Linked DNA regions of Caenorhabditis elegans. The protein of the gene in region 4 interacts with the protein of the main gene of each other region in a pairwise test. Each region holds a gene or a part of one and is shown on either strand. Other genes may lie near its edges.

What was found.
Region 1: the proteins of jmjd-3.2 (region 4) and athp-1 interact in a two-hybrid assay, tested with the Caenorhabditis elegans proteins (one large-scale study listed by BioGRID).
Region 2: the proteins of jmjd-3.2 (region 4) and ces-2 interact in a two-hybrid assay, tested with the Caenorhabditis elegans proteins (one large-scale study listed by BioGRID).
Region 3: the proteins of jmjd-3.2 (region 4) and zfh-2 interact in a two-hybrid assay, tested with the Caenorhabditis elegans proteins (one large-scale study listed by BioGRID).

What each region holds. Positions count from the first base shown.
Region 1 is NC_003281.10:10,879,895-10,884,792, reverse strand, and holds the start of athp-1 (PHD-type domain-containing protein), read right to left. Parts: upstream 3,028-4,898; 5' UTR 2,830-3,027; intron 2,433-2,829; 5' UTR 2,424-2,432; coding exon 2,358-2,423; intron 2,307-2,357; coding exon 2,175-2,306; intron 1,609-2,174; coding exon 1,237-1,608; intron 703-1,236; coding exon 596-702; intron 1-595. Other genes in the region: C44B9.3 (C2 domain-containing protein), read left to right, coding at 4,698-4,805.
Region 2 is NC_003279.8:14,959,833-14,965,889, reverse strand, and holds ces-2 (Transcription factor ces-2), read right to left. Parts: upstream 4,394-6,057; 5' UTR 4,364-4,393; coding exon 4,082-4,363; intron 4,030-4,081; coding exon 3,967-4,029; intron 1,160-3,966; coding exon 869-1,159; 3' UTR 529-868; downstream 1-528. UniProt on the Caenorhabditis elegans protein: Transcription factor. Required to activate programmed cell death in the sister cells of the serotoninergic neurosecretory motor (NSM) neurons. Negatively regulates the activity of ces-1 which in turn negatively regulates the activities of cell-killing genes.
Region 3 is NC_003279.8:801,725-806,403, forward strand, and holds the start of zfh-2 (Zinc Finger and Homeobox), read left to right. Parts: upstream 1-1,643; 5' UTR 1,644-1,677; coding exon 1,678-1,750; intron 1,751-2,075; exon of another isoform or gene 2,076-2,148; intron 2,149-2,620; coding exon 2,621-2,698; intron 2,699-2,745; coding exon 2,746-3,171; intron 3,172-3,875; coding exon 3,876-4,156; intron 4,157-4,679.
Region 4 is NC_003284.9:14,446,193-14,454,086, forward strand, and holds jmjd-3.2 (JmjC domain-containing protein), read left to right. Parts: upstream 1-2,017; 5' UTR 2,018-2,037; coding exon 2,038-2,149; intron 2,150-2,712; coding exon 2,713-2,952; intron 2,953-3,138; coding exon 3,139-3,629; intron 3,630-4,264; coding exon 4,265-4,970; intron 4,971-5,415; coding exon 5,416-5,603; intron 5,604-5,649; coding exon 5,650-6,242; intron 6,243-6,298; coding exon 6,299-6,490; intron 6,491-7,114; coding exon 7,115-7,196; 3' UTR 7,197-7,375; downstream 7,376-7,894. Other genes in the region: F23D12.7 (Neuropeptide-Like Protein), read right to left, coding at 7,414-7,463, 7,511-7,640.

The DNA.
Region 1 (4,898 bases), on a different chromosome or scaffold from region 4:
AGATTTTAAAATCTTGACTTTTTGAATTAGCTAAAACTTTTTTTCCAGAAAAAAAACACATTTTTGATGCCAAATTAGATCACAAAAGTCACATTTTAGCATTCGTGTCCAGTCGTCTTTTCTGCAAAAAAAATAATAATTGGAGTTTCAAGAAGGGATCAAGGGTGCCATTTTTCGATTTTTCGATGTTTTTCAGTGAAAATCGAAACATCGAAAAATTGAAAAAAATGTTCAGAAAATTAACCATAAAATTCGATTTTTTATTTAATTTTGCTTATATTTGTAAGAAAAAAATCCAAATTTCTTCTAAAAATAAGAATAATGTCCAAAATGTGAAGCTAATTTTTGGAAAATCGGAAAATCGAAAAACGAAATTTTTTGATTTTTGATTTTTCTTTTTGATTTTTCTATCGTGTTTTTCAGAAAAAAATCTAAAAGTTCAGATTTTGAGATCATTTTAAGAATCGAAAATGATTTTTTTTGAAGAAAAATTTCGGATATTTTTCGAGAGAAAATCGCTCAATTTCAATACTTTCTGGTAGGAAACTCCTCTTTTTTTTGGCACTTTAGGTCCATTTTTGCTACGAAAACGTACAAATTGCACTCAGCACACACTTCTCCCATTATAGTTGGCCTCTTGTCTTCCATTGCATCACCAGAGAAACAATCACGATCTGCTTGGAATTCCGGTGGTATTGTATACTGAAAAATGTTGGAAAAATTATTTATAAATGTTTGGAATAATATCTAGGTTTCTCGAGAAAATTATTGTAAAATTGGAAATTTTTGAAGGACACAGAAATAAAGAATTTTCACAAAAACTCGAAACAAGAATTAAAAAAGCGTTATTTTTAATATTTTTATCGGAAAAATGGTCTCAAGAACGATAATTTTCAGGAAAAAAGGTCGAAAATACTCAAAAATATTTGTACATTTTTCTGCAAATAAATTGTGTTTTTTTCTGTTTCTATCCTATCCTACAGTGTTAAAAATCCCGATTTTTCTAATTTTTTTTTCACTTTTTTCCCGAAAATCGGATCGAACGCCGAAAATTTCAACGTTTTTCGGGAGAAAAAGTGTTTTAAATATTTTCTGCTAATAAAATTTCGCATTTTTTAAAACTATTTTTATCGAAAATTAAAAAAAAAAATTAAATTTTAAAAAATCCAGAATTTTCGATTTTCATTAATTTTTCAATTGAAGCATTAATTCATTTTTTTGAAAAAACTCCCTTACATCCATGGGATTAGCCATTCCAAGTGCTTTCAGTAGATTTTTATCCCGAAAACAGTCTTGAATTTCTGCAAATTCACTTTTTGGCCCATAAGCAACATCTTTTTTCATTTTCTCGGCCTGTTCCTCATCTCTAAGTCGATTACAATGATATTCAATAGCTTCCCAATTTCGGTGATTTTCATTTTCAACTCGGAGCACTGGATTTACAGACGGCGAGCACTTTTCCGGTGGAAAGAGCCGAACGTTTTCCGGAAGATTTCTACATCGATTACAGTAAAAATTGTCGTCTGGAAGATCGGATGATTCGTATCCAATACAAGCAAGATGAAAGGATGCTGGACACTGTTCACAGCATAGAATGTTACCGCCGGACTGCAAAAAAACATGGAAAATTATTTGGAAATCTGGGCATTTTTTTATTGAAAATTTATGAATTCAGTGGAGAGATTTTTCTAAAATTTGGGATTTTTTTTTCCAATTTTGCAAAAATAATATAATGAGCCTAAGCCTACGCCTAAGCCCAAGCCTGAACCTAGGCCTAAGCCTAAGCCTAGGCCTATGCTTTAGCTCAAGCCTAAGCCCAAGCCTACGCATAAGCCTTAGCCTAAGCTTAAGCCTAAAGGCATAAGCCTAGGCCTAAGCTTTAGCTCAAGCCCAAGCCTAAGCCCAAGCCTGAACCTAGGCCTATAATAAATTTTTAAAAGGGAATTTTTATTCTGAAAATGCTAAAATCATCAAAAATTCGAATTTTGCAGCTCTTTTGGACTAAAAACTTTTTTAAAAAATCAAATAATTTCAGCATTATCTGGTTTTTTTACTTTAAACTCCAGTTCTGAATCGAAATTTTCAAAGATTTGATGATTTTTTGCAATTTTTCTGCCTTTTTCAGGGAAAAATTAGTTTTTTCCAATATTTTTCCAAATAATCAATGTATTTACAGAGCAAATTCCGCATATTTGAGCTTCAGGCCATTTCCATTCTTCCTCCACTTGCTTTTTCTTCTTTCCAGACCCTCTCGCCGACAATTCTTCGGAAATGTGGTGTGGAAAACCGCAAACTCGGCGAATTTCCTACAAAAATTTGGAATTTGAGGCGAAAAAGTGAAAATTTGCCAATTTTACCGGCAGAAGACCGTCGTTTGAGTCGTATTTCAGCTTTCTTCGGCCTTCTTTCTCTTTTTTCTGCATTGATATTTTCTGAAAACTAAGAAAATCAATGAGAAATGATTTTTTAAATGCATTTTAAATTAAAATATCAAAGAAAAAATGAAAAATCGTCATAGAAATCGCAGAAATTCGAATGAATTTTCATGAGAAGCATGATGTCTAGCTGTCTGTGCCCTCCTCGATTCACATACTATTTCTTCGTAATTCGCAATGGAGCGCAGTTGCGTCAAGCCGAAAAAAATTAGGTTTTTTCCTATAATTTCGGAAATTACGGATAAAATCTTGATTTCTTAGGGGAAATTGAAGAAAATTCATAAAAATTTATAATTTCACGCATTTCTTTGAATTTAATTTCAGATTTCAGGTAAAATTTCAGATTTTCAGAGAAATTTCCAGCGGCTAACTTGAAAAGAATCACTATTCGCACCTTTACAGCCATCTCCACAGTCACAATCGGCATTGTAAACCATCGGCAGTCCTATTCGAACCCTAAAACTCATCTCCACTTCTTTTGTCGGCTATTTCCGGTTTATGGCCTTGTTTTTGGCTTGTTTGGAAAGAAAGAAATAATTTTTGTTATGAATATACTTTTTTCAACAGAAAATTGGAACAAAAGCGAAGGAAAACGAGGAAATTGAACAAATAAAAGATTTAAGAAAATTAAACAATAAATAAACTACAGTAATCATAAGCAGCATGGACAGAGTTTCGGCGAGGGTCTCGCCACGATGTTATAAACGGCACATGCGCCTTGAACAAAGTGTACTGTAGTTTTAATTTTAGAAAACTTTTTTAAAAAATTTTTTCCCAGTTCTTCCCAGTTTTTTGTAGTTTTTTATCTTGGTTTCTGTCAGATTTTCCATTAAAAGTATTTTCAATTTTTTTAAAATCATATTATATTTGATATATCACAAAAAATGTAGTGAGATGATGTTGTGTGGTACCTCTGGGTTGAAAAAATGAATTCAAGCGGAAAATAAACAAAAATAAGCACATTTTTAGTACCCAGAACCGCTATTTACTGCTCCTCAATTGAAAATAGAATCAAAATCGCAAAAAATAACCTAAAATCTTAAATTTTGTTTACTTGTCAGTGAAGTAGCTGTTTTTGCATACTTTTTGTGTTTTTTTGGTACATTTACGGTCGATATGTGTGCACCACACACCTGCCAACTTTTGTGCATCTACCAAATTATAATAGGTATACCTTCCATCAACTACTGCAACTCAGACAAATGGACAAAATTTCAGATTTCGAGCACATTTTGGGTCTATAATCCTCTATAATCCAATTATTTATTACGTTTTTCGTCAAAAATTCGAATTTTGTATAAAAAAATCTTATCTTTTGCCCAGATAAAGCTCCAAAACAAGGCAATAAACATCTTAATCTTCAGCCCATCACAAATCAAATCCTTTGTTCTTTCAATAGACATCTACACGTTGTAAAAGGTGCTAATCCCGTCCTTCGACAAGATAACCATCTCTCGAGACGCTCTGTAATTCCAGCTCCGCCTATAATTAGGTGACACCCCCTTCCTCCTTCTACCTGACCATGCATCCAATTAGTCAGTCATTGTGTTATTCTTATTCCAGTCTCTCAAAGTATGTCGATGTATTATTTTATCCGATAAAATCGACATTCTTTTTTTTATTTCGATATTTCCTAGAATTCTCAAATTTTCACTGTTTTCTGCAGAAATTAGCTTTTTTTTTCTCACTGAAATTCACACTTTTTTTTGGATTTTTCCAAATTTCGAAAAATAATTATTGAAAAATCACCGAAAATGTTTGGTTCTGAATTGAAATTTTTTTAAAAATTCGAAAAAACCTATATTTTTTTGGGGAAAATCTTAATTTTTTAGCTTTTCTCTTCAAAAAATTGGCAATTTTCAATTTTCTGAAAGCTTCAGAATTTTCCAATTTTCCTAAAATTCCTTTCTGGTCGTATTAAAAAAACGATTTCCTCGAGTTGCAGAAAAAATTTTTTTCCGAAGTAAAAATTGAAATTTTCTCTAAAACACCGAAAAATTGGAAAAATTTTGAATTTTTGAATATTTTTCTGCAGAAAAAGTTGCATTTTCTCGATTTTCTCTCCGAAAAATTGAAAAAATGGCAGTTTTTGATTTATTTGCAACTTTTTTAAAATAATTTTTAATTTTTTTCCGTTTTTTTTCCTGATTTTCAACAAAAAATCCTTCTTTCAGACACACACTCTACACTAAAATGTCGTCGCCCATCTTCTATGGAATTCTACTATTATTGGTGTGCTCCGTGAGCCCGGTCATCTCTGAAATGTGGCTCCACGTGAATGTTCTCTCTGTGGAACGGAAACCATGTCCAATTGATGAGACCTCATGGGGTACAGAGACTAGTGGATGTGCAACTATGAGCTATATGACTGTGAGTTTTGGAAATTTATAAGATTCCTTGAAAAATAGTCCAAAAGTTTTGGAAAAAAACATAATTGGTTAATTTTCGCGCTAATTTCAGAGT
Region 2 (6,057 bases), on a different chromosome or scaffold from region 4:
TATAGAGGATGTTTGATTACCTATCGGTTTAATTAACGAAATAAAACAATAAAAAAATAAAAATAAAATACCAAAAAATGCAATAAAAGACGATAATTCCAAAAAATTCAACATCGGACAGATGCGACACAGAAAAGTAAGCAAAGTTTGAGATGCTAGCTATAATCAGTGTACTTTTTCGAAATTTTGAACCGCCATAAATTTTGAGAAGTTTTTTGAAATTCGAGGAGCAACAAATAATAACTTAGGAGTGTTGCCTAGCACACCGAATTTTAGATAGTGACAAGTGTCACTTCTACAGTTTATAATAAATTAATGGCTACAAAAAGTCAAGAATGTAAATATTTGGAATTGTTTAAAACTCATTCATATATTCCGAGTTAAAAAATTCAGGTTTAATTCTTTTAGAACTATTATAAAGTGCAAAATATTACAAAGTTGGTTACAGATCTTATTATATTGTGTACTATAATATATCAAATACATATATTTCTGAACCATTTAGAAAAAAAATGTCAAAAAAGTACATAAAATGCATACACAATATTTATTGTCAAAATAAGAATTTGTAGAAAAATCATCAATGATAAGTTGAAAAACTATCAGGAAATATACACGCACCCGCAGATGAATAACCTGATAGGGGATTGAGGTAGGGAGAATGAAAGCTTAAGAGATAGATCAAGATGAATGGGTGGTATAGAGAACCGATTTAAAGCTAAGGAAAGAAAAATAAAGCAATTTCAAGAACCTAGAGAAACATTCAAATAAATAGAAGCTTTGAAGTAACGACTGTAAATTTACAACAAAAGTGCGTAAACAACACTAATCTTTTTTTAAGCGTCCGGTATATGAAATACAAACAATTTCATACTTCAATGGTTGAATCGCTTTTAGAATCATTAGAATCATTAGTTTCCGTTGAATCGTTTGACTCGCAGGACACTTCAGAATTTGCTGGTGAGATTTTGGAGAAGAGGAGAAATCTGAGCTGCGCGGCCTCTTGCTCTAAGCTTGAGACCTTTCCACGTAGTTGCATGTTTTCCCGTTCTAAAGCATGAGCTTTTGATGCGATTTGTTCTTCTTTTTGACGACGTGCGTCTCTCGAACGTTTCGCTGCATCGTTGTTTTTGCGCCGACGCTCGAAGTATGCAGAGTCCTGTAATTGCTGAGATTAATTGTGATTTGTTAAGTTTTCAGAAACTAGGAATTTATTAGTCTACAAAAGTAATACACAATTTGCGAAAAGCCTATCAACTAGGAATTAATAAATCTCTAAGCACAGTTAGCCTAGCAAAGAATCATAATTCTATTAGGGTGATAAATAAGTTTTGTCGTTTTTTTTTCAGTTTTGATTTTTTCTAGGATATTTTTTGTGGATATATAGAAGACAGTTAGAATGACAAGCCTATCAATATCAGCCATGATGGGCACCGTTAAGATTATTTCCAACTCCGTTCTCTGCCGATCAAAACATTTAATTTTTCCGATTTTTGTCATTTCTTTGGGAAATCGAAAACTTATACACCCTCAGGTAATAGACTATTAGTTTAGCACATTAGTGTAATAACATCCTCATACATAGCGTATCGATACAACAATATCAGTTGAAAGTGCCGAAAATGCTTGCAAACATGACTTTTTAAACTTTGAACGACGCTAACTCCTGAAACGTAAAAGATATGAAAAAATGATCAACTACAAAATTAACAAGCATTTCAAGCACTACAATGTGTTAGTTGATGACTGTTCTGTATCTTTTGTTGTTTTTGAGTTAGGGTCAGTTGAAGTACGCTAGGCCGAAATTTTGATGATACCATTTTTCCCCATTTTTCCATGTAGCTTCAAGATAAATTATTTAGAAGAACTTTTTTAAGCAAAAATACAATAATTAAATAATTTTATACATTTCATTAGTTGTACGTTTTTAATATTTCATATCCCCGAAAAGATATGAAGCACACATACACTACTAGTTATTTCTTATGCGACTTTTTGAGTTTTCATATACTTTATTAAGGAATATGCCAAAGTTATTCCGTTTTATAAAACAAGAGCTACACATTATCGCAAATCCCATATTAAATATCAAAGGAAAAGTATCTCATATTCACGTAAGTTTATTCAAAAAATCGGTGTGACAGTTGTGTTTTGTGTAAGCCTCTCTTCTAACCACCGTATGCCGTTCACCAGAATGAGTGGGTTTTGTTGTGTAAAATGTACGACCCCTCTATATATTTTTCCGTATGTTTTATGCTCGGAGGGGCACCGCCCGTAAAAGAAAACTTAGATGTAATATGCGTTAGGCCAAAAAAGTTTGAGTCTTTTGTTACAGAAGGACATTAAAGTTTCATAAAACGACAACATATACAGTGCCGACCAATATTCTATTCGTTTTCGCTTTTAAGGTGATTTGCTTGAGTTGTTCAAACAAGTATAACTCGAATACGATAACATCTAGCAAAATATTTTTAATTAACAAAATGTTGCCGTTCATTTTGTCTACACTCTTGATGTTGGTTTACATAACTTTATTACGAAAAAAGCTACATCAGCTGAAATCAGCCGGGACTATATTTTGACTAGAATTGCTAAGTGACCCACAACTTTGTGCTCATGAAACAAAGTTTAATAAGAAAATAATTTGCACCAATTTTTCTACACTCTGCCATTTGCAGTTCTGTCATCAATCGACCAGGAAAAATAATACAGAGGATTGAACATGATTCTCAAATTTCTAGATTTTGAGCATGTTTTAAAAATCCTATTAAATAGCTTTATATAATAGTTTTTGTAACGAAAACTTACATCACGAATGTTTGCAACATGTTTGAAATGTTTTTAAACTCAGAACCTAAACAAAAATTTTGCTCGCATTTACAGAAAATTTGGTCAGTTCTGACTTTTGTAATGCATGTTTAGTCATCTGTATAAATTTCCCTGGGCACTTTGTGACAAAACAACAAATTGCAAAAAGTTGAAAATTCTGTGGAAATTATTTTTTTAAATTACACATGTAGAAAAAGTAACCGGTAACATTTTGTTAGTTGAAAATTATTTGTTAACTATTATAGTATTTAAGTAATATGTGTTTGAAAAACTCAGGCAAATGGCCATAAAACCGAAAGCAAATAGAATATTGGCCGGCAACGTGCCACTATGATATTTGGCCATTTCGCACTGGCGCTACGAAAAATTACAATTTTTTTACAAAATGAGAATGTGGGTACTTGTACGACGCAGTAAATATAGCTTACTTAGTATTTGATGCTAGCTGAACAAGAAGTGATGCTGATCTTAATTTTTTGAATTCCCGCCTCATTTGAATAATATAAATGGTAGCCCAAGTCCTCTACGGGGGTATAGTTGCGCAACACCCCTTCCTGTCCGGTCATGCCCCTCTCGTATATTCATATTCAAATTCCTCCACACACATGAAGGTTTCTCTGTCAGGTAGACTGTATGTAATTACCCCTTCTTTTTCTTATGGCAACAGTTGGGTGGTGCTAAACAATGAGCCGAATCTCGAAGAGCTCTTAATTGGAGGCAGTCTGTACCGCATTATCCCAGGAACAACCAGCGGATTTTTGAATTGGGATTGTTAGGAGTAATTATTCATTAGCATAGCTTAGAGACAAAATGGCGTTGACAATGCTCCGCACTAAGAGGAAACTCCAGGAATACGGTAAATAAGGCAACTTATAATTATAATAGTTTGGGTGGGGGCGTTAATACTAGTTGACTTTCACACTATCAAAAATTCTGACACCCATAAACCATCTCCAACAGACACCTCGCGGTCGTCGTTGCGTAACTAACAGGAGTCGTGTTACGTAACTGTAGTGATTTGAACTTAAGACCACGCAAATACGATTTATGAATATTTTTAACCTCATGGTAAGTCTCTATTGGTTTTCAGATTTTTTGGAATTGTATACACTTGAAACTTAAAAAATTGAAACAAACCTTTTTTTCTTCTGGAATCGGAACCGACATCTTTCGTGATGGTGACCGTTGGGGACTTGAAAACTGAAAATAATTCCAATAGTTTTATAAGTGCTAATAATTTTTCCCAACTCACGTGTGAACTGCTAACCGTACTCGACCTGCTTGACACTGGACTGGCACACAATTCATCTTCTAGTTTGATCTTCTTGGTTGGTGTTAAAAGATTTGTCGTGGGCAGTGAGTCAAATGGTAAAATCCCCAACGGAGTGTCCAACTTCTTTCCGCCGGACTGTGCAGCAAGTGCAGTCGTCAGAATAGAAGTTCCGTCGTTGAATGGGAAACCAAGTGAGCCGAGCAGTGGTTGAACGGCTGCTTGATTTGTGAAAAGCGCCGATAGTGCTCTATGAAAGTCCATTGCGTCTGCTGTGATAATTTGGGGCTAAAAAAGACACAGATTTATTAACTATAAGAGAGTTGAAGAGGTAAATGTTTGATTTTCAGTTTAAACTTCCGATGGATAAGCTAAGTGAATAGTTTTAACCCTAGAAGACAAAGGCTAGATGGAAAATTCCCAAAAAAATCCTTTAATTGATGTAATAGGGTACGTCAATATTGAACTTTTGATTAAAACATTTTTAGAGTTTCATAAACTATAAGCTTGAAAATTCAACTATAGACCAGCCATGTTTCAGGTTACACCATCCAATTCCGTTTCAAAAAAAAAACAAAGATATGCCCATGGTAAATTAAATTGAACAGAAGAATATATTGGAAGGTAGAAAAGAAAGAGGTCAAATGTTTGCACAATCATAAAAAAGAGTAAAAGGAAATGGAGGAAAGAGACAATCTAGGATTAGGGTGGAACCTGAATTGGTAGAGGTTGTTAGATAAGCGGTGAGTACTGATAAAGTCAATGTGGATCCTCAAGTTACTTAACAAGTTTGAAAAGTTGTGTTTAATCAAAATAATTGGAATTTTGCTTGTCATATCTTAAAATGAAAAGTTGAAGTAGGCTAATTGTTATTACAAAAGAGTATATAATATAATTCAAGTTTTTAGCTCTAGAATACATTTCTTAATCAAAAATGATCACTGAAGAAAATTCAAGATGCATACGTTAGATGGGGAGGAAATGAAATGACCTCTACAGTAGTCATATTTGAAATCTATATTTTTTTGTGAATAATTTAAGTTTTATCAGAGTATTGTAACTGGAAACATCTTAAGAGTTTTGCGCGATTTTTGTAGTTCAAAGTTACATATGATTTTTTATTAGTAGAATCAAAAACTAAAAAAAAACGAAGTTGTAAGAAATTGGGTCTACTGGGACCACCCTGTTGCCCCATATACCCATCGGAGCATAAGAGTGATTGCGCGTCGGCTGTCTCGAGAAATGACAGGCGGTATGCGGGATGAGGGTGGCAGCATTTTCCGCCCGCCCTCCAAGAGGTCACCACCGGCCATCAGAGGGTGCAACAGTGCGCAACACTAGAGAGCACGGGAAGAGAACGAGACGCAGAGCAACCGTATGCAATGGCATTTGAATATTCGTTTTCTATGAGAGATAGGTGTCTCGTGTGCATTGGAACGTCGGCTCTTCTTCTGAAGAGGAGAATGAGGGGTTGGTGGTAGACATGGAGGAAGAGACAATCATTACGCAAGTATTTGAATGGTAGGTAGTCATTAGGTAATAAGGTTTGTTGGGTTACGGATTTGTTGAAACATTGAATGAATGTTTTGATGCTGTCTGAAATCACCTGAAATCAATGAGAAATGAAGATTTAATTACCAGCAGTCAGTATTCTAAAATTCAGGGTTTTAATTTTATGGCCTTACTTTCAACAATTAAACCCTCACGTTTGAGAGCACATCTTAAAAATTCAATATTAGAGGGATATCATTAATATTACCACCAAGGCTTCACATGCATCCGAAATCACTTCTCTTCATGCAACAATATTCATCCTCCCGACCTTTCATCCTCTTTCAAGTACCATGTGCTCATCGGTCCCTCTTTTGAACTTACGCAATGGCTAGTAATACTGCGTAACTGTTACAAATCTAGCCTACCGGAGGGTATACGGGGCAGTGCTGTGGGGCTCTCGGCTC
Region 3 (4,679 bases), on a different chromosome or scaffold from region 4:
ATTTTATTGCTCCTCTCACGCTTCATTCTCACTTTTTCTGGGGATCCTTTTTTTTGCAGACCTAAAAATTTGAGCTCAGCCATATTTTTTTTGTAAATATAATCAAAAAAAAATAGACATTAGTCAAAAAAGTTGTTTTAAGCCTAAAAAAATTTTTCAGATAAAAAACGTTTTTCTTTAACTTTTTTGAACAGTTTTTCAGTGAAATATTTTTAAATTTTTATTTTAAAAAAATGTTTGTTTATCTAAGCCTAAGCCTGAGCCTAAGCCTAATAACCCTAAATAGCGTCAGTGTGGGAGCTCACGCTCCCCCACTGACGCCAAGCCTAAGCCTACGCCTAAGCCAAAGCCTAGGCCTAAGCCTGGGCCGAAGCTGAGACCTAAGCTTAAGCCTAAGCCTAAGACTAAGACTGAGTTCAAGCCTAAGCCTAAGACTAAGCCTGAGTCTCAGCCTAAGCCTAAGCCTAAGCCTAAGCCATTTTTAAAAAGCTTAAAAATTTTTGCAATTACTATTTTTTCTGAAAATCTGTAAAAATATCGAATTTTTAGAGTTGCTATAAAATTTAAAATAATATTCAAAAAATAATCCGAAAAAATTAAATTTTTTTTCTCAAAACGTAGATCATACAGAATCAGCTTTAAAAAATTCAAACCATTTTTCGTTTCAAAAATGTTCAGAAAATTTGTAAAACTTGAGTTTTGAAGAAAGTTTTCATAAACTAGCTCTTGAATAGGGTTTTTAAGTAGGCGTTAAAACGCTTGCCTGCCTGACCTTCAGGCGACTTTCGCCTGCCTGCTTGACTTTCAGACGTTCTCTGCCTGCCTGCCTGACTTTAAGGCGACCTCCGCCTGCCTCTCGCCTCAATCCGAGCCTTATCTCTTAAAATGTTTTTCATCAAATTGATAAAAATACGGAAATTACAAAATTTTGTAAGTTCATGCCAAAATGCAGGCATCAGGCCCTGAGGCCACGCCTGCCTAGGCCTCCGACTTTCGTTCTACAATTGTCGTTGCCGTTTCCTTTATCCCATTTTCATACCCCAAAGTTATGATTTTTCTTACACCCCTTGCGCTGCTGCTGCTTCCGCTCCCGTGATCTTATGAATCAGTAGTCAGAACTGCAGGTGTGAATCTCCACAATGATCACCCAATAAACGCGAAACACCATTAGAAACAAAGTGTCCCCCGTTTTTTTTTTCTGAGAGTGTCGGCACCCCCCTAACATATGCGGGGAACATTGTCTCAAGTTTTGTGTGCTCCTCCAGCTCCTCCATATGGTTACCGTAGTCCCCTGTCAGTGTTGTGTAATTGTTGTTGTAACTATCCCCCGAATACCTCTCCTCACATTCATTCACAACACAGGTGTCAACTCAACTCTCAGTGCTCATTTGAAGTTTATGAAGTTTAGCTTCCGGGGATGGCTCTCCTGGGCTCCCCGCTCCCTCGAAAATTTAATTAATTGCAAGCACATGTGGTGGTGGTGGGGCGAGCTCCGCGCTTCCCCCCCCGCCCCGATTCTCTCTCTCTCATTTGCGACTCATTAGATTTTAAATCACTCTCAAACTTTCCACTTTTCCAACTTTCGCGTTTTTTAAATTTTTTTTTCACTTTTTCCTCACAAATTCATCCAAAAAAATTTCCAGAGTTGCCCCGCCCATATATTGGCTAAATGGTAGAATGGACGTGGCACTTTTGACAATGGATGACAACAACAAACCGCCGACAAGTTCAGAGTCTACGGAGAGTAGGGGTGAGTTTGGCCGGGGGACCGATAATTTTTAGGCCAAGACTTCTTTTTTTTTAAATCATTTTCAAAGGTACGTTACCTTCACGTGGTGCCAGGTTGTCCCATTGCTTTTTGATCTACAGAAAATGCGGGATTTTTTCCCCAAAAAATGTGACATAAGCAAGTTTTTAAATCTTTTCTCCCGCATTTTTTTGTAGATCTACGTAGATCATACTCTGACACCACGTGTACCTTGAACCTCCTGGCTTTCTGAAACTAGAGTTCGTCGCTAGAGCGCATTTGCATTGTCGTGGTATTTAATTTACAGTACCGCCAGAATCATGTCGCGCCGCTTGTAGTCTAGTGGTTAACACGCTTCAGCTCTAAACAATAGGTCCGGGGTTCGATTCCTTGCAAGATGAAATTTCTTTCTCAAGATGGAGGTACATATGTGCTTTAAATGTGCACTAGAGATAGCGAAACTGATACCATGGTCCGACATGTACAGGGTTCCGCGCGCGCCTAGGGCCTCCAAAACGCCTGCTGCTCCAGTTTTGCGGCGACCTCCGCCTAACTCGCGGCGCGCCTTCTGTATAGTCACGGCCTTCTGTCTTCCCTCATAAATTGAAATGGAAGAGTTTTTGCCGAACTAGGCCATCTTGGCTCGGTCACATCTGGGCTCGATTTTAGTTGTAAAACTAAATGTATTTGTCCGTGTGGAGTGCACGACTTGCCCACGCGTTGACCGGCGGGCGATTGCCAATGGAGCGCGAAAAATTCAATAAGGAAGGCCAGAACCCCGTGTATAGTGCCGCGCGTGGAGCCCGAAAAGTGTCAGCCGCGGCGGAAGAACCACATTCCATAGGACTAAAAAACTAAAGTTCTCTCTTTCAGAAACATCACCACCAATGATGCCAGATTCTGCGGAGATAATGCGACTTCTTACGGATCCTTCGACGGCTCAGATGTTTGGTAGGTCATAGATCAAATTTTTTCCGCAATTTCCCGAAAAATTTCAGCCAACGAAAACACAAAATGTCAGCTGGGACGGATTCTCGCCGCGTCAGGCTTCGACGAGGCGAGCCTCTCCTCCTCGTTTCCGTTCGATCCGACGCTCGGCGCGTTCGCCGACATTTCCCAATTCTCATCACTCCGAAATTCGTCGAAAACGCTGAAATGTCCAAAGTGTAATTGGCACTACAAGTACCAGGAGACCCTTGAAATTCATATGAAGGAGAAGCACAACGATGTGGATGTCAAGTGCATGTTTTGTGCCGAGAACCGTCCCCACCCGAAGCTGGCTCGCGGTGAGACGTACTCGTGCGGTTATAAGCCATATCGATGCGATTTGTGTCGGTACAGTACGACGACAAAGGGCAATTTGAGTATTCATATGCAAAGTGATAAGCATCTTCATGCAGTGCAAGAGCTCCCGAATAGTATAGGTAGGTGGGGGGGGGAGGCGAAGGGTACTGTAGTTTTCGTGGTGGGACCCAAGAATTTGAATTTCACAAGAATTTAACTGTTGAACTCGAACTTTTCGATTCTAGGGTCTCGCCACGCAAAAACACTTACGCCAACTTTTTTGAACCCTAAAAAATGATACTCAAATTAGAGTTCTCAGTGAGCTAAATTCGATTTTACAGTATTTTTTTAATTTGACGTTCTGTGGGTCTTACACTCAAAGGGTACTGTAGTTTTCGTGGTGGGACCCACTTGTCCAAAAATGGACGTGATTATATTTGGATTAAAGCCCCTAACTTTTCTGATTTTTTTAATAAATTGGTTTTATTTTGAAAAGACTGAGAAAATTGAGTTTAGATCGAAATCAATAAAAATCGCGTCGAGACCCAAATTTCCCGGGTCTCGGCACGAAAATGGGGGAGAGGGTACTGTAGTTTTCTGGCTTCTCTCATAAATTGAAATGGAAGAGTTTTTGCCGAACTAGGCCGGCCATATCTGGGGTAGATTTACGGCGCGTTGCGTGTCGCGGCTCAATTTTTGTTTTAAAACATGAGGAAGACCAGAATCCCGTGTTTTCGTGGTGGGACCCAAATGGGTCATGATTATACTTATTTGAAAGGCCTTAAGCTGAATTCAGATTTAAGATTTTTATTATTTTAATTCAAAAATATCCTGAATTTTCCAGAATTCGCAGCCAACTTCGCGTGTGGTGCTCCAGTTAGCCGAAGTAGTCCAATCGAAGAGTCCGACGGATCCCTGGTCTGCTTGATCTGCGGTATCTTCGCCACCGAATCTATCGCCGAAATGATGGAACACGTGGAACAAGACCGTTCCAGGACGTTCCAAGGAGACGTTACCGTCCTAAACGGGAGCTTCCGGTGCCACTTGTGCCCGTATAATACCACATTGAAAGCCAATTTTCAACTACACACAAGGACGGATAAGCATCTGCAAAAGGTTCAAATTGTGAGTTTTGTATTCCCCTCTCATCATCTTCTTATTTTTATTGTGTCGCCCTTTTCCCATTTTTGTGTGTCTGTGTGTGTATGCGCACCGATTTGCATATACACATAAATTCATGATTTAATAGCGTAATGAGTAATATTTGCTTTGCCAAGGCTAACAGTTTTCGTATTTTAAAGCCTTTTTTCTACAATTTTTGAAAAAAAAATTCAAAAATTTGAACATTTCAATATATCCCTAGAAAGCTCAAAATTGTAGTGAAAATTTTGAATTCAGTACGCTGAGACCTTTAAAATAAGTATAATCATTACTAGGTTTTGGTTCTGACGCGAAAGTGTTCGTGGCGGAGCCCAAGCAAGGCGTAATTGATTATAGGGTCTTTGCACGCAAAAAATTTAAGGTCCGGTAGGCGTGGCGGGGAGTTTTTCTTGAATTATTTTAGTTTTTCATAAATTTTCAATTTTTTGGAATTTATTTTTCTCTCCCTTCCCCCGCGTAGTCTGAGCCTAAACCTAAGCCTGAGTCT
Region 4 (7,894 bases):
AGTAATAAATCCATGTATTTCTTTCCTCTTCCATCTGTTTTTTTTTCGTATTCCTCACTTTCGCTTTTCCCATTTTTAGATATCCTATAAATTATCAAAAAAAGTTCAACTAATAAAATATTGTCCATAATTACGTCTACTTGTATTTAACTGTTTAAGTTGCTTACCAGTGTCATGACAAGAAATACAGCGGCCGACATCTCGTGAGCCCGTTTTTGACAACTTTTACTGATTCGGCCGTATCTCGAAAACTAATTTTTTTCTGGAAATGTTTTTGAAGAAAAATAATCTTCATACTACTTGCCATCATTTGTGCCTACTCACTTTGTTTTGAAAAATTCAGCAAAAAAGTTATGGAAGTGCAAACTAGTCCCTCACTTGGCACTGCTCATGCTGTACAACCAAAAATCAGGTTACTTACTTCGAATATATTTTTTTCGAGCATTTTTTAATAATTACAAATGTAAAATCACAATTAAACTTTATTTAAACACGATATCAAAATTCAGGGAAAAAAAATTCTTCACTTGCGAGAAATGCTCTAGTTGTAGTCGTACACTATTCAAGTTTAATCTATCATAACTTTTTTGCTGAATTTTTCAGAACAACGTGAGAAGACACACATGATGGCAAGTAATATGAAGATTATTTTACTTTGCCAACACTTACAGAAAAAAAAGTTTTCGAGATACCGGCAAATCAGTAAAAGTTGTCAAAAACGGGCTCACGAGATGTCGGCCGCTGTATTTCTTGTCATGACACTGGTAAACAACTTAAACAACTGAATACAAGTAGACGTAATTATGGACAAAATTTCTTGAGTTGAATTTTTTTCGATAGCATGTCCAGTTTTTAAGTTGTGCTCGTTTGAAAAACTTGTAAATTTATCAAAAATCGAAAATTGGATAGAATTATGGCCGGCACTGTATGTAAGACCTTCAAAACGTGCTCCTCTAATCCGTTGCTGTTCGGTACTCTTGTTACGTGTTAAGTTGGGACAAGTTTCCTAGCTACTCATAGTTTGTCTGCACTCTCCTAGTGACGAGAAAAAGATGAAAAGATAATCTCTCAAGGAAAAGCAGATTAATCAACAAAGCGCAGCAGAACTTTCAAATTCATTTTAGTTAATAAGTATACGATTTCCGGTGACCGAATATATGTAGTTGGTTTGTGTTGTATTTTGAATTCTGGTATATAAAATATAAGTAATAATATATAAGTAACCGTTTGAAATTGGAAAATTTTTTCGACGCAAACTTTGCCAGTGATATGTTCAATGAAACATGCTAGTTTGAAAAAATTAAGCATACAAGCACATTCCTATAAATAATTTGGTGGCCACCTTCTGTTATGTTTTATCAAAAATTAGACCTCCCGGCTATTTTGTTACAATCGAGCAGACACCCCCCCCCCCCCCCCCCCACGACACCTGTTCTCTTTGAGCACTCCATAACGTGGGAAGGCACATCTTGCGTCATATGTGACCCGACAGTCTCCTACAAAAATATGGGAAACGGGGCAGATTGAGTGATGATGTAACTTGTTCTGCGCAGTCTTCTCTGCCTGTTCTCGACCTTTTTGCGAGGATTGGCTCCAACATACGTTTTGCACCACTTCTCGATGTTTTTTAGTTTGTTTTTCAAAATTAACATATAGTTTTTCATCAATTTTAGACAAAACTAATTCATTCAATTAATTTTAACATGAAATGAAATATTCAGAACTTAACTTTAGTTGTTTTAGAATAATAGGGTATGCATTGTTAAAATTACAAAAAGTGAGATTTATATCCAAGTCTTTAAATTTTATTGTATTGCAGTTTTGGGATTATTTTAGATTTTTATTAGGAAATGCATGCAATTTTTGCAATTATTGATAGATGTACAGTTTTTAGTGTGTGTGTGTTTTTTGTTAATTTCGAGGATTAATAGAAGAAAAATCCTCTTTAAAATTTGAGTTCACACTTTTTTCCACTAGCAATATTAATTTTGAATATTTTGATCACGAGCAATAATTTTTTCAGGATTTTTTCAAAAGATGGATAGCGGTGGCCAAGGTTCAGGTTCACAAGACCAATTCGAAAAAACAGAACAACTCGTTGATGCACAATATCCAGTTCCGACAACATTGAAGCCAGATTTTTTCACAGGTGAACATTTTAATTTTGTGTTAATAACACGATCATACAATAAAAAAGGTTTGTAAACTGACAGGAGACGGAATTTTCATATCGAGAAATTAAAAAAATCCTTTTTTTCAATGTAAAAAATCTATATTTGAAATTGATTTTCATATGACTAGTTTTTTTTTCAAGCGAAGCATTATATTATTCTTTATATACATTTAAAGGTGGAGTACTGCCAGTGGAGAAATTGTTAAAAACCACTCGTTTGGTCACAAAATGACCAAATATCATGATAAAACTTTTCAAAAATTTTTGAAAATTTATTATTTACTGTCAAAAAGTGGCAATTACTCAGTTTTTGCCACTCATAATTTTCGAAGTCGACCAAAAAAACAATTTTTTCGACATTTTTTATGTTCTAATTTTGTTTAAATTATTTTTATTAAAATATTGTAGGGGTCGCAACATGCGGCATTTCTTTAAATTTCCTCAAAAGCTAGTAGATTCTCCAATTGTCAGCACAAATGATTCTGAACCAATTAATGAACAAGTTTATTCAACACAAAGTAATCATGGCGAGCTTCAAGATAAAACCGAGATTGATGAAAGAAATCGAGTGGATCAGTGCTTCGATAATGATCAACCATTTAACGGAAACAATTCAAAACTGTTAGAATCCGAGTCTCATAAACTGGGAGAGTCGTCAACTGAACCTTCAGGAACAACAATATCATCAGGAAATTATGAAATTGCTGAAGACTGCTCGGATGAGACAGAGCAATTCATCGATCCAGACAATCAAGTTCCAGCAGCAAATTTTATTACCAGTAAGCTTAAGATTTCTTTGAAAAATGTGCTCATTCAAACATTTTCTTCATGCAACTTTTTTAGTAACTTTTTCGGATGGGAACTGAAAATTATAAAACTGTGTTGCGTGTTTGCAGAGATTTTAAATATTGGGCTAATTTTTTTCTAAACAAAATGTTTTTTGAATTAATCGTTTTCATTTTCAGACGACTGCACAACAATTGAACAAACTGCAAAAATTCAAGAAGAAAGCGGAACAGATTCTTTGATTGTCAGCACAAATGATTCTGGTTCAACTAATGAACAGATTTTGCCAACACAGAGCAATGATGCTGACTTTCGTGAAAGAATTGAAATTGACGGAAGAGATCAAGTGGATCAGCATGGCAACAGTTATCCACCAATTAGTGGGAACAACTCAAAATTGAGAAAATCAGAGTCTCATGAACAGGGAGAATTTTTAGTTGGACCTTCAAGGAAAAGAAAGCCAGAAACACTAATTGAAACAAAGAGTAAGAAAAGAAAATCGGCGAGAGGAAGACCATCTAATAAGTTGAATCAATTTCAAATACATCAAGTTAGTAGTGACTGGAACGCGAACGCATTTCTTCAGTTTGCTCGACGAGACGCAGCTGGTACGATTCTAGAGTCGGAAGAAGCGAAAAAAACCATCGATGCACAGTTGGAACACTTTTCGGTATGTTGTTTCAATTAATATTAAAAAAAAAAAGAAATAGCACTTTAATAGTGTTGTAAACCTACTGACCCTACTGATAATGAACATGAAATTTCAATATAAACGAAATGTGGCTCAATTTTAAAATATAACGTTTAAATGTCAAACGCTATGTCAAACTTAAGTTATAATCAAAAAATTATTTTTTTTCCAGAAATTTCCTAATTCTTTTGGAATCGCATTAAAGATAGGAACAATTTAATAACTTTTTAATAATTTTCTAAATGTTAGAAAAATAAATAAATGAATTAAACTATTATACACACTACCAAGTATGCTCGTTGATATCATAAATTTTTACATATGCATTGTAAACATAAAACAAAGACCAATTTGAAAAGTTCAAATTTTAACACAGAACTTAATAGGGAGTTTTTTAAAACTATGTATAAAATGCGATCGGTGCGATCGGAAAAAAGTTGAACGTACTATTTTATAGCAGACATTTTGAGCTCGCATAATTGATAATTGTTTTCAGCGAAAAACTCAAACTTTCAGGTCAAAATTTTTTGTCTAAGACAGGACGTTGTAGGACGTTGTCAAAGCAAATTACAAATTATGTATATGCTTTTAACAAAACTTTAAAATATTTGCAGGAGCCCTCGTGCTCGACGGATGTTTCGGTTCATGTTGTCAGAGACAACGAGAATCTGGGCTTGGTGACAAACAAACTCCGATCGCTAGCCATTCCACCAATATCCAACCTTCCCAGTGATCTGCCTTCATTATATAAACTCCCGAAACTGTTTCTAACCGGAGCGACTTTTATGGACGTCTCAAAATCAAAAGGAAAACAAGTTATTACGAAAGCAAGCAAATGGATCAAATCTGGCAAAAATCTCGTATACGAAACATCTGGCTGTTCTGAACTATTTGATGAAACAACAAAATTCAACACTGATGGAAAGATTGAAGAAAACACAAGTGAAGAATACACAAATAAAGATCAATACAGGTTACCTGTTCCTATCTATAATATTGAGAACAACAGCGATGAAACATCAAATTTTATTAAAAATATCGTCAATACCACAACCATGTGCATCTTTCGAGGAATCGAAGAAGCATTTGGGATGGATCGCCAAACGTTTGACATCTCCACATTGGCACCTCTCTACCCCGATTACCCATTGAAAATTCGTCGACAGATGCCCCAGTCATCAGCAACCAATTTCTACATGAATGACAAAAATACCGTGCAGAGATTGGGAAATGCCTGGGCTGTCTTCGATTTTGAAGGAGTTACTCAGTTGAGAGATTTTGCGAAGAATTATGAAAGCCTTAAGGATATAGGAAGGTCAGGTACGTTTTTGAACTGTTTTTTTTTAATTCTTATTTAGCGAAAGATATTTGAGTTTTATAAGAAAATAAGTATCTTATAAAACCCAATTTCAAAATTTTTAAAGATTGGTCTAAAATTCCAGTCAGCTTTGAAAACCAAATTAGCGAAAACTTTTCAAAAGATTTCCAGGAGTTTTGAGCAAAATAAAGCAACGTCGCAACCATTTGAACCTCAATGGCATCCCAATGAAAATATTTGAAAAATATTTAGATTTTGAAATTCGTATAAAAAAAAGCACTTACTTCATTGTCGACCTTTAAATTATGGGTAATCAGAACTGAGTTCTCGCCAATTTTTGACTCTTAATCAACCCACTTGGGAACTTTTTTGATAAGTTTTAATAAAAACTAGAGAACTTCCAAAGTTTATAAAAATCATTAAATTTGTTCACCTTTCATTTTTCAGCTTACCAAGCTATCCTACGCAATCCTTCCGCATTTTCGGAAGTAATGGATGACATGAAGAAGCAAATCAAGGAAAATACGATCCCACTCAGTCCTGAACACAAACTTACAGTCCATGAAAATGCGACAGTGTTGGCATTTGGAACTAATATTGATCTGGATGATCAGCGATTCAAGGAACAGCTCGATGTATGTCGTTTAAAGTTAACGGTAGATAAATAATCATTATTTTCAGGAGATCAAAAAATTGCCTGATTGTTTGAGACCCGACGGAGCCGGGAATCTTCTCAACTTTGCTCAAGAGTCACTTGCAGGTCTGAACAAACCTCAAGTTTATTGCAAGCCTCCCGGAGCAAGAACCACAGCTCACCTGGAGAACCAAGCTCTCGGGTCCATTAACATTAATCATGGACCAGGTGATTGTGTTTGGTACGGAGTGCCCATGGAGTACAGTGGCAGAATGGAGGTGCTGATCAAAAAGCATCGACTTAATGTTTATAAAAGCGGGTACTGGCCAAGTGAGCAGGAATTAAGAAATGAAAAGATACCATCGCAAAAGTTTCTACAAAAGCCTGGAGACATGGTGTACGTCGGTATTGGAACATTTCATTGGGTGCAATCTAATGATTTTGCAATAAACGTCTCCTGGAATGTTGCACAACCAACTTTTAATCAACTGGCTGCTGCAATGGTCATTCACGATCACAACATCTCGAGTAAAGCAACTACTCTCATGCCTATTGAGCCAATTGTCTGGAAAATGGCTGAAGATGGAGTGGAGGCAGAGGATGAGAATATTTTCCTGGCTCGAAAGGCTATAATGCTAAAGTACGGTTTCGTCACAGAATCATAATACTAGATAACTAATTAATTCAAAATTACAGAAGTTTGGCAAAAAGCCAGTTTGAGTTCGATTTCGCCATTCAGGAAAATATGCTCATCAGATCAGCAAAAAACGAGAAATCGATCATCCCTGTTGAGCGATGCTCTATCCAAAAATGCCGGGAAGTTCTGTTCAATATGATCACACTTGACAATAAGCAAAATCCATTCTGCCTTAATTGCATAGTTAAAGGGTGAGTTGCATTTTGTGAAGAGTGATAACTGATAAATGCGGAAGAAGGGATGTATTGTTTACTCATCATAGAAAATTTTTTTGTATTTTTTTTTTCGAATTATCATTTTTTTATTGCATTTATCGGTCGTTTATCCAACGTTTTTTCGTTGAATAACGTATATTCAAACCCGATGGAAGGCCATTTTTTGGTGATTTTTGGTTAACTATCTTGAGATTATCTACCAAAACATGCAATTAAAAAACAAAAGCTCAAAAAAGTCAAATTTGTGACCGTTGCGTCACGGAAAAATCTCCCAAATTAGAGAATTTTTCGTACGAAATTTGTTTATTTGAGTGCATTTTAAGTATATATGTTCAAACATGTAGACCACTTTTATTTTGGTTAAAAAAGTAAAAAACACACGAATAGCAAGATAAAAATAGTTTAATTGGTGTCAAAGTGTCGCATTTTGGTTTCTTCGGGAAATGCGAGAGAAGAGACGGAGATTTTTCAGCTGATTTCGCATGGCTATACGTGTGCTGACGTTACATTTTTCTGGAAGAGAAATTCCCGCATTTTTGTAGATAAAACCGCAATGAAACAGCCTGACACCACGTAATAATCTAATATTTAATTTTCCAGAAAAGTCAAAGCAACAGCATTTCAAAGGCGGGACATTGCTGACTTGGTGAAGATATTTGACGAGTTTAAATGGGTGTCCTGAAACTTTTCTTTTTTTCAACTTTCGATCCTCAATTTTCACAGCTTTCTTTTGTATTATACAATTCTTGCACATTTTGAATCACTTATCGTTTTATTGATCTTGTTTTGATTTTTTATTATGCAACATTTTTCGATATGATCAATTCTGTTTAATAAAGTCCAACTTACTAATTATAAAAAAAATTTATTCTTACATACAAAAAAGAAATCGAAAATGTTTAGTTGCATGGGTTGACAGATGGACGTGCTGTGGCCATTGGCATATTATCTGAAAATAGGAGTTTTTGATTTTGTATGCAATTATTTTGAAATTACTGAAATCCTCTGGGTCTTGTGGGTAGCGAAAATCTTCAGCGTTATCAATATTTGGAATTGGTGCGGACAGAGAGATCCCAACGAGCAAAACCATGAAGAGAGTCAAGAAAGACAGTAGGAAACGAAACATTTTCTGAAAGATGAGATTGGGTTAGGAAAAAAAGAAACACGAGGAGTTCGGTGAAGAAAAATCAGACAATGACGAAAAGATGTTTTCAATGTTATCACACAAAATGTTGAGGTTGAAGCAACTGCGGCGGCAGTTGTCAATTTTCCCGGTGACATGTAAATAAAAGAGTTGGTGAATCATACAATTTGATTTCTAGAGAAACGATTGAAAATATATTCTGTTTAGAAACCTGACTTAAAATCAAAACCTGAGTT